Canis lupus familiaris: one gene and its partner. The protein of the gene in region 1 interacts with the protein of each later gene in a biochemical or structural test. Links are inferred from orthologs where the notes say so. Each region holds a gene or a part of one and is shown on either strand. Other genes may lie near its edges.

Region 1 (7,284 bases):
TGTCACGGGTGAGAGGGTCAAGTAGAAGGGCAAGATCGCTGGAGATGGGGCAAAGCCTGCTGGGGGTAGGGAAGGAAACAGGGGTTCCCTTGTCCCCACAGGCATTACCACAGTATGGACATCTTCACTCACTATGATATCTTGACTCCCAATGGCACCAAGGTGGCTGAAGGCCACAAAGCTAGTTTCTGTCTGGAAGACACTGAATGTCAGGAGGGTGAGTTGGGCTTCAAAAGGACTCCGGTATCTCCGTCCCACCAGCCTTGCCTCACACTGACATGTGCCATTCCCTCTCAGATGTCTCCAAGAGGTATGAGTGTGCCAACTTTGGAGAGCAAGGCATTACCGTGGGTTGCTGGGACCTCTACCGCCATGACATCGACTGCCAGTGGATTGACATCACAGATGTGAAGCCAGGAAACTACATTCTGCAGGTGCTGGGAGACTGACATCCAGCTGGCAAATGGGAGGAAGGTTTGTTAAGGGCACCTCTGGATCTGAGGAGTACAACTGGTCACATTGCCTTTCTCCCACTCACAGGTGGTCATCAACCCCAATTTTGAAGTAGCAGAAAGTGACTTCACCAACAACGCAATGAAGTGTAACTGCAAATATGACGGGCACCGCATCTGGGTGCACAACTGCCACATCGGTGTGTGGGGGAGGGCAACCCAGAGAGACCAGGGTGGGAGGAAAAGGCCTTCATTCACTCACTCTCTTCCTCCTACATTGGTTCTGTGTCCTCCCACCTGCCTCTGCATCTCCCAGCCCCTCAGCTTCTCACCACCCTTCCCCACAATGGGTCTGCTCCCCCACCTAACCCGCCTATTCACCTCGCAGGTGACGCCTTCAGTGAAGAGGCCAACAGGAAGTTTGAGCGCTACCCTGGCCAGACCAGCAACCAGATCATCTGAGGCACTGCCACCCTCTTCTGCAAACCACCACTGGCCCCTGAGGGCAGGGGTCTGAGGCTGCCATTACCTCAGGAGCTTACCAAGGGACCCCTGACATCGGTGGGCTGGCTACTCATCCAGTGCACACTATGGATGTGGAACTGTCAGGCCGAGGTTATCGCCCTCCTTCTCAGGCCAGCTGCCAAGCATGGGGAATTTTTGCTCCCGGGCCCAGCACCGAGCCAAGCACACTGCAAAGAGCAGCACCCAATGAACTGCCAAGGACAGACAGCAGCAGCTGGTTTTCTTGAATAGGGAGGTCAGAATGGTCAGCTCCAGTATCTCCCCTCAGTTCAGGGGGGATACAGCTTTACCTCTAGCCTTTTTGTGGGGGAAAAGATTGGTACCCCCTCCCCCCTTATTTTTGATTATAACATGATGCTAGGTATAATTTTATTTTATATAAAAAGCATTTTTATGATTCCTCAGAGCCCAGGGATTGGTGCTGGTGGTTGGAGGGACCTGCCCCCCACTGGTTCATTTAATCCTCTGTCCAGGTACCCTCAGAGCCTAGGCCAGGAAAGCAAGGTGGAAATCAGAGCAAGAGCCTCATACTCCTGCTGACCCACTCATTCTGTGACTTCAGGGGTCACATATAAGGTCAATGTTTCTGGTCCTCGCCGGATGCGCACTGCCAGCTGCGATTGGGTCCGAACAGCTTCGTAAATATCTTCAGCGTTTTGTACCAGCTGCTCCCCAATAGCCAAGATCACATCACCTGGCCGTAGACCAGCCCTATGGTGAAAGACAGACAGAAAGAGAAAGGAGGGGATAGACAGCCCGGTTCAAGGGCACATGCATACGTCACCCATCCCCACCTCACAATGCAGTCTCTTCCTCACCGATGTGCAGGGGAGTCCAGGATGACCTTATGGATGAGTACACCATGCTGAACATCAGGAAAGCTTGGTTCTCGAAGCTGTAGTTCAGCAAGGATGCTAAAAGGACACAGATCACTCTGTTAACAGCACCAAGGCACTCTCCCCATCTTGGGTTCACCTCAAATCTCTCATCAACACACCGACAACTGCATGGACAAGGGCATGCACTAGATACTCCGGATACAAAGGCAATTCACTTTCTGCCTTTTCAAAGTTAGGAAGTGGGACATGTGTATAAAAGGTAACTCATTCCAAGTGATACATCATATTAAATCAATAGCACTAATGTCATTCTAGAATTCTAAGAGAAACTTTGAGAGAGTAGAACATAAGCTGAGCATAAAATGGTTCTGGTATTTAACTATATAAAACAAGAGCAATATAAATAAAACCATAGGAGTAGGAAATCCAGGTCAGCTGGAACAGAATATATTCTTGTAAGAAGCCAGATCTAAAAGGTTAAATTGGAGACAAATGGAAAATGGCCTCTAAGCACCGGGCTAATGGATTGAAGTTTTTAAACCAAAGCAGTAACAGGATGAAATCAATCTGGTAGCAGGTGTACAAGAGGGATTGGAGTGAGAAAGTCAAGATCATGAGAATAGCTCTTCTGATAGCTCCTAGTGTGGGGCAACTTATCTTAGATAAAGATAAAACTGAGAACAAAGCCCAACAGAAGTGCCACTTGCCCACCACTGAATATACTGGTGGTCCTACAGGTCACTACCCCCAAAGCTCGTACCTGGGAGTCAGGGTCAGCATCATCACTCCAATGTAGCGGCGCTGGGACCCACTGATTCCAAACCAGGAATCTGTGATAGAGGGACAAATGAGCCCCACCCAGTTACATCCTTCCTTCCCCTCCCTTTCCTCCCAGTAGACAACCCCTCTCCAGTAAAGCACAATGAATGCCCTTCCCACCACTCAAAGTAATTTCTTCCCCCCTAAGCCAGGCTCACTCTTCTTTTCCCCACGATGCAGAAACTCTCGAAGGCGATCAGAAGGGATGGCAAAGGAGATTCCAGCTGTGACCTTCATGGTATTCACTCCAATCACCTCCCCATCCTGCAGGAACAGAGCCCACTAATCCCTAGCCCAGAAACATAGTAGGAGGAGGGGATACCTGAACAAGAGTAGCAGGGAGAATGAGGGAGCAGGCTGGGGAGACCTGGTTGGATTTTGGGAGATAGCCAACAGGAGGCTGCTTAGAAACTTGACCAAACATCGTTGAATTAGAGGAAGCACACCCATTCTCACACTGACCTGGGGCAGGGATTCTTGGAAAGAAGGATGTCCCACTCACCAGGTTAACCAGTGGACCTCCAGAGTTTCCAAACTGCAGGACAAGGAGAAAATATGGAAGAGATCCAGGAACTCTATGCCTGGAGGCATGACCAGGATGTAGGCACTTTTTCCAAATTCTCTCCTTTCCCAGCCCAACCTGAGTGGCCACATATTTGCAGCCCAACCTCTGTATACAGGCTCATCCGCCATCTATCAACAGTTGGTGCCTGTACCACACAGCCTTTCCCCCAACCCCCAACCTAGTTTGTCATTTCTCTTATATCAGAACGCACATCAATAGCTGCATCAGTCTGGATGTATTCCACATTGGTTTGGGGGAGGCCCAGGTCTCTGGCTGGACGCTGAGCAGAGCTGACAATGCCAGAAGTGATCGTGTTCTGCAGTGCAAAGGGACTTCCCATGGCAACAACAAACTCCCCTTGCCGGACATCAGCTGAGCGTCCCAGGGGTAGTGTGGGGAGAGGCTCCTGAGAGAGAATGGGTATAAGAGACCTGTCATCTGAAGATGTGAGCAAATTCACAGCCCCAACCAGACCCAGCCTGCTCAGCCCCCACCTTAGTCTGAATCCTTAGCGTCGCAATGTCTGCCACAGGATCCACAGCTGTGACCACGGCCTCATATGTGTCGCCGCTGAGCAGCCTCACACGGACCCGGCGCCGATCTGCCACCACATGAGCGTTGGTTACGATGAGCCCGTCGGCAGCCACCACGAATCCTGAGCCATTCGAGATAGGGACTTCGCGGCCGGAGAAAGGGTGCCTGGAGGGGTGGGGGTGAGAAGCAAGGATGCAGGGAGGCTCACACCCCGGCTCCTCCGCCCTCTAGCCCGCGGCTTGGTGCCTCCTGCCTTCCCCACCGTTACCGGCCCAAGATCTCGATATAAACCACGGCAGGTGCTGTCTTCTCCACCACGTCTGCGATGAAGTTGTACTGGCTCCGGGGAGAGCTGGGCGGCGAGCCAAGGACCGAGGCGAGGACCGCTGGGGGACCCCGACCCCCGCCCCACAGTAACAACAGCACTGCCCCCCCAGCGCCCAGCGCCACCGCCAGCCATATACGCGGACGGGTTCCAGGGGTCCCTGAGCCCTCCTGGGTCCTGGGATCTGGGGTCCCTACAGCCAGCCATGCTCGGGAATCCGAAGTCCTCGACGTCAGACACGTCCGTGGTTCAGGGACCCCCACAGACCACCGGGCCCGGAGGCTGGGGGTCCCATAAGTCACTCGGGCCCGGGGGTCAGGAATTCCTGACGTCAGCAAGGCCCGGAGGTCAGGGGTCAGCAGGGGTCCCTTCCCCGAGTGAACCCCCCCCAAAGCCCGCCATCCCCGGAGGTTCCAGGCTGCACCCCGCCCCGCCCTCAGTGCAGCCATCAGCTCCGCCTCGACTGCCTCCTCGCCCGCCCTACACAGAGGCGGCGCCCTGGACGCGAGGTGGCGGACGGAGGGACGCGGGGCACGCCGGGACCTGAAGTCCTCCAGAAGTGCACGCCGGGACCCAGGATTCCGGGAGGCCGACTCCGCCCCCGCCCCAGGAATGCCGGGAATTGTGGTCCCCGCGGGACGCGAGTTCCTAGGTGGCCCAAGGGCCGCGAGGCATGCTGGGACCGCTAGCCCTTCCGGGGCGCCTCAAGATTTCGGGTGCCCGCACCCTGGGCGGATGCCCGAAGACTCCGCCTTCCCAGGAGCCCCTGCGGCCGGGCGCGAAGATGGCGGCGGCGGCCGGAGAGCTCTAAAGCCCCCGCGATGGATCCTTCCCCGGCGCTGGGGCCGGAGCGGCTCTTCGACTCTCACCGGTAAGAGCCCTGGCGGGAAGAGGCCGGCTCCCGCGTGCACTCGGCCTCCGGCGCCCGATCACCCCGCCTTTCGCCCCCAGGCTCCCGGGTGACGGCTTCCTGCTCCTCGCGCTGCTGCTCTATGCTCCCGTCGGGTTCTGCCTCCTTGTCCTGCGCCTCTTTCTTGGGATCCACGTCTTCCTGGTCAGCTGCGCTCTACCGGACAGTGTCCTTCGCAGGTAACGGCCTGGGGGTCCCGGGGAGGGCTGGGCTGGGCCCGGCCGGAGGCCGTGGAGTCACCACTGCCCGCGTCCCCAGGTTCGTGGTGCGGACCATGTGTGCGGTGCTGGGGCTCGTGGCCCGGCAGGAGAACTCCGGACTCCGGGATCACCGCGTCAGGGTCCTCATTTCCAACCACGTGACACCTTTCGACCATAACATAGTCAACTTGCTCACCAGCTGTAGCACCGTGAGTGGGGGGCAAAGCCGAGAGCTCTACGGGGCGGTTCCCTGGGGCCCAGCTGGAGGCTCCCCTTAGCCCGCCCGGGTTTCCCTTGGGGACCACTGGGAAATACTGAGGCTTACCCCCAATCCCGCTTCTGTACCCTAGATGTCAGTTTTTCTCACTTCCCAATATTCTTTTCTTGCTTTCTCTCTTCTCTATTCCCAGCCTCTACTCAATAGTCCCCCAAGTTTTGTGTGCTGGTCTCGGGGCTTCATGGAGATGGATGGGCGGGGGGAGTTGGTGGAGTCACTCAAGAGATTCTGTGCTTCCACGAGGCTTCCCCCCACCCCTCTGCTGCTATTCCCTGAGGAAGAGGCCACCAATGGCCGGGAGGGGCTCCTGCGCTTCAGGTGGGTGAGCACAGGTATCGGTCTCCAGCTGGGTAGGTGGTCAGGCTTGGGGGCCCTTGATTTTTCACAATTTTCAGCCCTACCTTCTCCGTCCTAGTTGATATCTTTTCTGTTTGCTCTTAGTTCTTTCCCCTTATATCTCTTTATTCTTTATTTACCTACTCGTGCAGTTTAACAGTTTTCTGTTCTGAGTCAGGTGCTGACAGGCTGGCTAGAATCCCATCCTACTGTCTCTTCCGTCTTCCAGTTCCTGGCCATTTTCTATTCAGGATGTGGTACAACCTCTTACCCTGCGAGTCCAGAGACCCCTAGTCTCTGTGGTGAGTGTGTGTTGAACAGGGAATCTCTGGGGCTTGGAGGGTAAGTTTCTCACTGCTGGCCTAGGCTTAGACCTCACTTCATGCCCTCCCTCTAGACGGTGTCTGATGCCTCCTGGGTCTCAGAACTGCTGTGGTCACTCTTCGTCCCTTTCACGGTGTATCAAGTAAGGTATTAACTGCCTTTACTTTTTGGTGCCTGGGAGGAACTCACCTCAGGGTCAGGGAAGTTGCCTCTTCCCTGTTCATTTGTAGATCTTTTAGTATCACGGTTCTATCGCAGAAGCAATACAAAGTGTTTACTATCTCTCCACTGTGATCACAACTGTTCCATGAATAAGTATCAAAGTGGGGGAGAGGGTGAAAGCCTCTAACCCAGGCACACTCAACATGGTCCTGGAATTTCTTTTTTTTCAGGTGGCTCCCGCCTGTTCATCGCCAGCTTGGAGAGGGGAATGAGGAGTTTGCTCTCCGTGTACAACAGGTGGTAGGGTACACAGGCAGGGTGAGGTGGGTTTTTTCCTTAAGGGTAGGAGGAGGAAGTCTTGAGACCTTGACAGTTCCAACCTTCTAATTCTCCCTAGCTGGTGGCCAAAGAATTAGGCCAGACAGGGACACGACTCACTCCAGCAGACAAAGCAGAGCACATGAAACGACAAAGACACCCCAGATTGCGCCCTCAGTCAGGTATGTGGTCTCTGTACACAAAGTTGTTTGGGTTTTCTCAGCCTGTTGTGATTCCCTTCCTATTCCTGTGCTAGTCAGCTTCTCCTTCCTCCCAGTTCTCCACTCACCATGTTTCGGATTTCTTTTTTGCAGCCCAGTCTTCTTTCCCTCCCTCCCCTGGCCCTTCTCCTGATGTGCAGCTGGCAGCTCTGGCTCAGAGAGTCAAGGAGGTTTTACCCCATGTGCCACTGGGCGTCATCCAGAGAGACCTGGGTATGGGAAAGGGTAGCCTCACACAGGAGACAGGCACAGAGAGGAAAAGTGGGTGGTGAGGGGAGAAGGTGAGCAGGGAAACAGACTCCGTTCTTCTCTCTTCCCTTTTCCCCAGCCAGAACTGGCTGTGTAGACTTGACCATCACTAATCTGCTTGAGGGAGCTGTAGCCTTCATGCCTGAAGATATCACTGAAGGGACCCAGTCCCTTCCCACAGCCTCCGCCCCCAAGGTGAGACAGAGGAAATGGTTAGGTCTAGGACTA
Region 2 (7,467 bases), on another chromosome or scaffold:
AGCTGTCCACCTTGGTCTTCATAGGCATAAACTTTTCAACATAATGTTTTGATAATAGACATTATTATCTATTGTGTTCATATAGTAAAGATCTATTTAAAAAGACTTAAAGGAGAACTCCAAGGTTTATTTGTTGCTGCTGCTGTTGTTTTAACGAAAATTAACTCTTAATTTACAGCTTAATTCAAGGACTTAACACCAGCCACCTTCTAGCCCTACTTCCCTTGGTAGAAGGTAGTTATCTTGAGTCTTTTGAGAGTCATCAGTTTGTAAATTCATTTTGATTTAGGAAATATTGGGCATAAGTTCCAAAAAAATACTTCACTGATAAAATAGGGAAGTTGAAATATTACAATTAGATAAATATGTTACCACAAATGTAATTTGATTAAATGAAGAATTTTATGTTGTCTAAGAAAATCCTTAATTTTAAGCAAGCTCTACTACTTAACAACTGTGATATTGTCAAACAGTTGCACTTATGTCTTCAATATATATTTTTAAAATATTTTATTTATTTTTTCATGAGGGACAGAGAGAGAGGCAGAGACATAGGCAGAAGAAGAGAAACTAAGCAGGGTTCCCGAAGGGAGCTCAATGCAGGACTTGATCCCAGGACCCTAGGATCATGCCCTGAGCTAAGGGAGATGTTCAATGGCTGAGCCACCCACGCATCCTTGTCTTAAAAATATTTTGACTTTGTCAAAACTTAATTTCCTCAGTGGCATTTGTTTTATTATCATTCTTTAGAGTGAATACGTACATATTTTGCATGTATTATATTTCATAATAATGTTAGAAATATAATTCTCAAGCATAAATTACCTCTCTTTGCTGTTGCTCCTCGTGTTTAAAATTCTCAAGTTTCTGCTAAAAACCAAATCACATGTAAAGAAATGTTACCATCTATAAAAATTAAACGTAGGAAATTTTGAAAATAAGTACATTTAAATACAAAGATGTTACCTTGTTGATGTGTGTAATAGATTCCTTAAGAAAAATAAAAATAAAATTAGGTTTAGTTTTATGAATGCTTCTTATTTATCAATATAAGTCAGGAAATGAAGGCATGTAATAGGTTAATGTGGACACTTTGATGATATTCTAAACTCAGGATAATTGCTGAAACTTATATGTTGCACTGTTCTGCATAAACTTATCATATAAAAGAAAAATGAATGCAGTTTTATAAGAAAATAGTGAACACAGTAACAAAAAGAAGTATTTAATAGATGTTAATTTCTATCACCATGCTATCTTCCTAGGTCAACAAATGATTACTTATACTCTATCTGATTCTAAAGAATAATATTTGTTGATAATATGAATTTTATCTTTTAATTCTTTTAATCATTCTTAGTTTACTTACTGTGTTTACACTTCAAATTAATTATAAGAAATAAATACCTCTCTTAAGGGTCTGATAACCTTGTAGAGAGGCAAAGTATACTGACATACTATTTAACTAACAGGTAATAACATATCCATAAAGAGTGGTGCCAAGGTAAATACCTACCTTATTCTCCCAGGCAGATTAAGACTATATACTACCTCTCACCATCTCTTATTTACTAAAGTGACTATTGTAATTATAAAAGGTGTCTATTTGCATGTCTGCTCACGTATTATATTGCAAGCTCTTTACTCTGGGCATCCCTCTTTTCCCTTTGTACCACAGCTCCTATTCAATGTCTGACCCACAGACAGTGCCCAATAAATATCAGAATAGGGAAATGAGGCCAGGGTAAAAACAGCTCAAGACAGAAAACAGGACTGTACAGTACATTAAAAAAAAAAAAAAGAGGGGGTCACGATGACAATTTCAAGTAGTGAGACAATTTAGAAAGTGCTAAAATAGTGAATTCACCAGATATTTATTCTATCTTTATGCACATGCAATGGAAACAAAACATATACAATGGAAATTTACATCAAAACATGTCAAACAGAGCTGCATTGAAGTAATTGTCCTAATGTAACACAATAGAAAGATAGCACAGCATTTTACTCTTCTCAAACTGGGGAATTGCCTCTGAAAACATTTTCTTACCTCACTGCTTGAAAGGCTTTCCACAGTCTGTAAAGAAAAAACAAATCTATCAGCAACCAGCTTTTCCTAGATCATTGAAGAATGTTAATATTTTATGGTTGGAAATTTTTTGTGAATAAAAATATCCTACCTCATTGGATAGAGTGAGTTCTTCCTTCTGTAACAGAAAAAAATACCATTCTAGTTTCCATGGTTAACTCATTCTTAAACATTTTCCCTATATGATTTTTATCTTCTTTATGCAGAGCTATGTGTTTCACAAACTTGAGAAATAAAAAATGCTATATTGAAAGACTTGAAAGGTAGTTATTTTTATGTCTTTTATATTTAGTAACTTTATTGATATATTTTCTTCTTATGTGAATAAACGTTTTTAATGGCTAATAGAAAAAAATTATTATAATTTGTTTTAAACAGTTTATTATTATTACAAATATATTTATGATTATGATTATCGTGTGATACTCCATCCTCTCTCTAAATGTCTTTGGACAAACACAGGTAGAATTGGGCCCAGGGCCATAAGGTAAAGATACATATATTTTATTACTGGAATAAGATATATTTATCTAGGGTGCACATGCCTGCAATCATATTTGTGCAATATTATTATTGTCATGTTTATATCCATTTATTTTTGTTTTGTCTGTTTGCTTATCTGTCCATTTGCTTTTCTTTTTGGGACTGATAGCACAGTATATACCACTGTATACCATTTGACCCAAATCTGTGCTCCTATTGCACACTGTCAAAATAATGTGTCATGCAAATCATTTTCCAGGAAGTCAAAATAAATCTGTTGAAATTCTGCTTTATTTGTACTTTAAAAATGTTGAGGATATTCTTCTCTCCACATAGGTAGATACTCCATTCTATCCTAATTAGACATTTGCTTACCTCTCTTGCAAGAGCAAGAGCCACAAGGCAGGCAAGGATGAAAACCTTCATGGTTATCAAGTCCTGTCAATGAGGAAATGGAAGAATGGTAATACCTTGGTCAAGCTATTTTCTTAATTTAGCTAGGATTACTTTCCTTTTAAAGAAACTAAAGATAATATGTAATAAAAAAAACCCTGTATTTTAGAAAAAAATACTAATAGATGCTTTATCATACGGGCAAGGTCAAAATCTACTGTGGCTCTTTACTCTTACATGTCATTTTCATACCATTCATATTTTTTCATCCATTACCATTACCCTACCTCACTCTTTTTCATCTCATTCACAGCACTATAGTTGGGTTTTTGGAAGGACAGAAAAAAAGTTATAAATATTTACAGAAATATTTACTAATTGATTCATTTGTTCAAAAATATTTATTTAACATCTTTTATTGCCAGACACTATCTAGGTACTGGGTTGATAGCAGCAAACAAATGTCTCAGCCTTGATAAAGCCTCAGTTCTATCAGGAGGTAACTGATCAAAGAAAATGTATATGCAGATTATATTTTCTTTTATCTTTTTTTTTCTTTTTACTAAACCAATGGTTTCCATGAATATTTGTTTAGTCATTTCCATATAATAATGCCTCCTCTCTTTTGTGCACATAACTTTAGAGATTGTACACTGTATTTTTTTTTCTGATTTCTTGATGATTTACCAAAGTGTCTGGTCCCCTTGCCCAATCCCCACTTCAAACAACCTCTTCTTGTAGTATAACATGATATATATGTTAAAGTTTCTAACCAAAATGTACTAAATGCTTGATTTTGTTGCATTTCTGTAATTGCTTGTACAAAATAATGTTTGTACCACTAATATCATTTGGCATACAATCTTCAATCTCAGATATTTAAACAAATTTCTAAACTAAAAATGTCTCATGAAAAAAGTCCCTAATTCATCTGCAAAATATCCCTTCCAATATTTGAAGTCTGAAAATTATTCTTACTTCAGAAAAAGATTTTCTTTTCTAGATCTTTCTCATGGGTACTATATAAACTTTAATTTTACTTTGCCTAAGAGCTTCAGAAGTTTCCAAATAATTTCTCATTGTCAGGACCCCCAAAAAAGAATATAGCATTCTATTAGAGATCATAATGTGTAGGAAGAATCTTATTTCATTTTCTATATTTTCTAATTAGCATTTTATATATTAATTTTTTTAGCCAGAACCTCATTTTTTACCAATGTATTCTATAGTATTCTTTCTTTCAAATCTTCTCTTTCTTTTGCTTTAGTTTCAAGTCATCTCTGTATCATCTTTTTTTCTTTTTTTGGAATTTTTTTCCAAAGTAAAAACATTTTCCCTTTAACTTAATTCTGTATTTTATGTCTATTTTAACAATATTTTGAGCTATTATAAACCAAATGATAAAGGGGGAGGTTGGATACACTAAATAAATTTGAATACATATTTCTGAAAAAATATTTATAAACATTTCAAGTAGTGCATATCCCCAAACAAATTCTGCAGTTTCTTGACTCAATATGCTACCTCTAAAACTACTTTTGGGTAAAAGTTTCCCATTAATTATTCATATCCCAAACCAACAATTTAAGTATATTTTCTTTTATTGCTTTAGTATGTTTAACCAACTTGGAAGATTTATTAATTCAAGAAGTAGATTTTTTAATATAGCTTATTCATTGGCTTTGTATTAAAAATGGTTATCATTATTACTACATTTTTTAGACTCATAAAACATTTGCACTCATAATTTTTATCAAATGTTCTTAGATCTTTCTATTTTTTTAACCTAGGTATTGAAAATAGTGTCAGTGCTATTTTAAATACTCTTATTTCAAAGATCCTATTTTAAGCAATTATTTTCTTCATATAATTTAGCCTAGTTGAAATAAAAGTGAAGAGAGAATACATAAAATTTATATATGAAATTCTTACCTTTTTTCCAAGGTGGAGTACAGAAAGTGAAGGGGAAGCTAAGTGGATGATGGTCTGTCTGCTTTTGTGGTGGTTTATATACTGTATTTGGTGGTATGCTAATTTTGCGGTTTGAGATAAAATCAACGGTCAGCTTCAATTCCAAGAGGTCCACATGATTAGAATATGATTTCTGCCTATTATCTGTCCCCAGAAATTCTGAGGAGCATTTTAACAAGAAAGCAAATCACAAGCCAATAAAGGAAATCTGTCCAGGAAATGTAATTGTCTAATAACTGGAAGACATTGAGGCTCTGGCCCAATCCACAACTTATTGTGGATGCAGTTAAGTCTCTTCAGCCCTCGTGGCTCCTCAAGATATTAACTGTGAGGGGATTTCTATATGAATATCAGACATACGAGGGACTTCACAGAGGCCACAACTTCACGCCAACCTAAGCAGTTGTTGGTGTTTCATGCTACAGTGGAGAAAATAACAAGATAACAAGTCCATGATGATAGTTTAGTCATGTAAGGCTAACTGCTAAGCTCCCAGAACTACTTGATTTGGGAAGAATAAATTTCTCACTTCAACATTGTGTACACAAGAGGAATAAATTTTCCTCTGTAATGAAACATCTTAGAAAAGGAATCTATCTGGATAGCTGGTACAGTGAAAATTCTTGGTAAATCTGTAACAAAAATTTTGTAAAATGTCATGCAGACTTATTTACCTGATAAATATTACCTTTTTCTATTTCAGGCATAATAACCTTTATTTTTTATGCTTACTATACCCCTATTCCAGGCACTATGTGTTTTACAGACATTATCTTGTATAATCTTTACAAAAATATCATGAGGTAGTTGTCCTTTCCATATTTTGGTTGAAGAAATTGAGACAAGAGATTGAGTAACTTGCTCAAATCATATTTTCGTTAATTGCAAAGATACCACTTAAAACTAGATCTGTCTGACTACATGTATTTCTGTTTGTTCATATGCAGTGTCCATGTTTTAACTCCTTTTATAAACTCTGTTATAAAACTTGTTCTTAATGTAGCATTTGTGCTTAAATGTGTAGGATTTAATTATGCTTGAATTGGAGGAGTGGGGCATTGGTGATGAGTGTGGGCAGGGGAATTGGTTATTAAAGAGCTGTGCTTTTAGTTAGACCTGAAAAGAATAAGTAGTATTTTAAGAAATGATAAAATGTGAATAAAGTATTTTGGCTGAAGGAAAGAGGAATTGAAGAGAAAAATACCACATTTGGTGGGATTTGTACTTCAGGATATGTAGAAGGCAGAGAGTATAAAACTACTATTGCAAGGGTTTGATGGAGTCAGATCATAATGCCTTTGAATTTCAATTATGCAGGGTGACATAGTTCATTGGAAATAAGGAAAGATACTAGAGATTTGAAAGAAGGAGGGATTGTGAAATTTCTTGAATTTTATGACTTTATGACACTATCTTAGGGTAGCCTAGTAAAGGAGCTATTATAGTAACATGTTAGTAACATACTATAGTAGTTGAAGACAGACATTATGATGACATCAACTAGAAAGATGGTACTGGGCATCTTAAGCACTGAGAAGACAAATATGTCATTAAAATATGAGAAATGCAAGAAATCAGGGAAATGAATGAATAACATATGCCTGGGTTTTGAAAAGTTAATCATGTTGTAAACCAAGATAAGAAGCCAGGCTGAAATTAGAAAGGCTTAAATCTTGTATACGGTAAGTTTGAAGGTATCCAGAAGGCTTTGCCACTTAAATGTGATGCTTAGAGTAGTCATAAGTACGTTATAGAAATTTTTTTCCTGACAAAGGAATAAATGAACTTCCCTAGGGAAAGTGTGCAAGTGAGAAAAGAAATTGTCTAAGACTAGAACTCAAGCGCTCCCTGTTATTCAGGGGCTGGTAGAACAAAAGCAAATAGGAGAAATACAAAGTATCGAGGAGAAGAGACTGAAAATCATGGAAGCCATGGGAGGAAATAGCTAGAAGAAACAAGTGGAATTAAGAGGAAAATGCCACACAGGTGGAACTAAGGTGGAAACAAGGAGGAGGTTTTTGGACACAGAGAGTCATTATCATTGAAACCATTGGGATGCACTGCAAGTGGTTAAAAAGCAAGTAATGTGGGAGGAATTCAAAGCAACATTACTCTTCTGAGATTTTAGAAGAGGAAGTAAAGACACCTGTGGAATGGTATCTAAAACAATAGGGACAACCAGAAACACAGGAAGGTAGTTTTAGGATCAAGGTTTGTGGTTCAAAATAAAGAGATCAATGGTGAGAAAGCTGAAACACACCAAAGGTGTGAGAATAAATTGATGAAGCAAATTCTGATAGATTTGGGGCCACAGCCAAAAGAATTAGGCCTGCACAAAATGCACCAGTTTTCCTGACACAGAAGAAGCGGAAAAGAAGTCAATATAATACATACTTTGAAATATAGGGCAAAAAATTTCAAATTAAATGATTTTAATTTTTAGATGTGGTTAATTTTAATTTTAAGATGTGGTTCATCTTAATTTTAGGATGTGGTTCTCAACAGACAGTGAGGCAAGCGGTTATGGGTTT

The links. The genes of interacting proteins can lie anywhere in the genome.
Region 2: of the proteins of HTRA2 (region 1) and CSN2, one has a biochemical effect on the other in vitro, tested with the Homo sapiens proteins (2 studies listed by BioGRID). The link is inferred for Canis lupus familiaris from reciprocal best matches to the Homo sapiens genes HTRA2 and CSN2.

What each region holds. Positions count from the first base shown.
Region 1 is NC_049238.1:49,109,912-49,117,195, forward strand, and holds HTRA2 (serine protease HTRA2, mitochondrial), read right to left. Parts: upstream 4,512-7,284; 5' UTR 4,509-4,511; coding exon 4,003-4,508; intron 3,900-4,002; coding exon 3,695-3,899; intron 3,607-3,694; coding exon 3,412-3,606; intron 3,171-3,411; coding exon 3,138-3,170; intron 2,900-3,137; coding exon 2,794-2,899; intron 2,647-2,793; coding exon 2,577-2,646; intron 1,892-2,576; coding exon 1,796-1,891; intron 1,689-1,795; coding exon 1,523-1,688; 3' UTR 1,518-1,522; downstream 1-1,517. Other genes in the region: LOXL3 (lysyl oxidase homolog 3), read left to right, coding at 1-8, 102-217, 298-434, 541-652, 841-914.
Region 2 is NC_049234.1:60,455,400-60,462,866, forward strand, and holds the start of CSN2 (beta-casein precursor), read right to left. Parts: upstream 4,949-7,467; 5' UTR 4,898-4,948; intron 3,011-4,897; 5' UTR 2,999-3,010; coding exon 2,948-2,998; intron 2,208-2,947; coding exon 2,181-2,207; intron 2,078-2,180; coding exon 2,051-2,077; intron 991-2,050; coding exon 967-990; intron 871-966; coding exon 826-870; intron 1-825. UniProt on the Homo sapiens protein: Important role in determination of the surface properties of the casein micelles.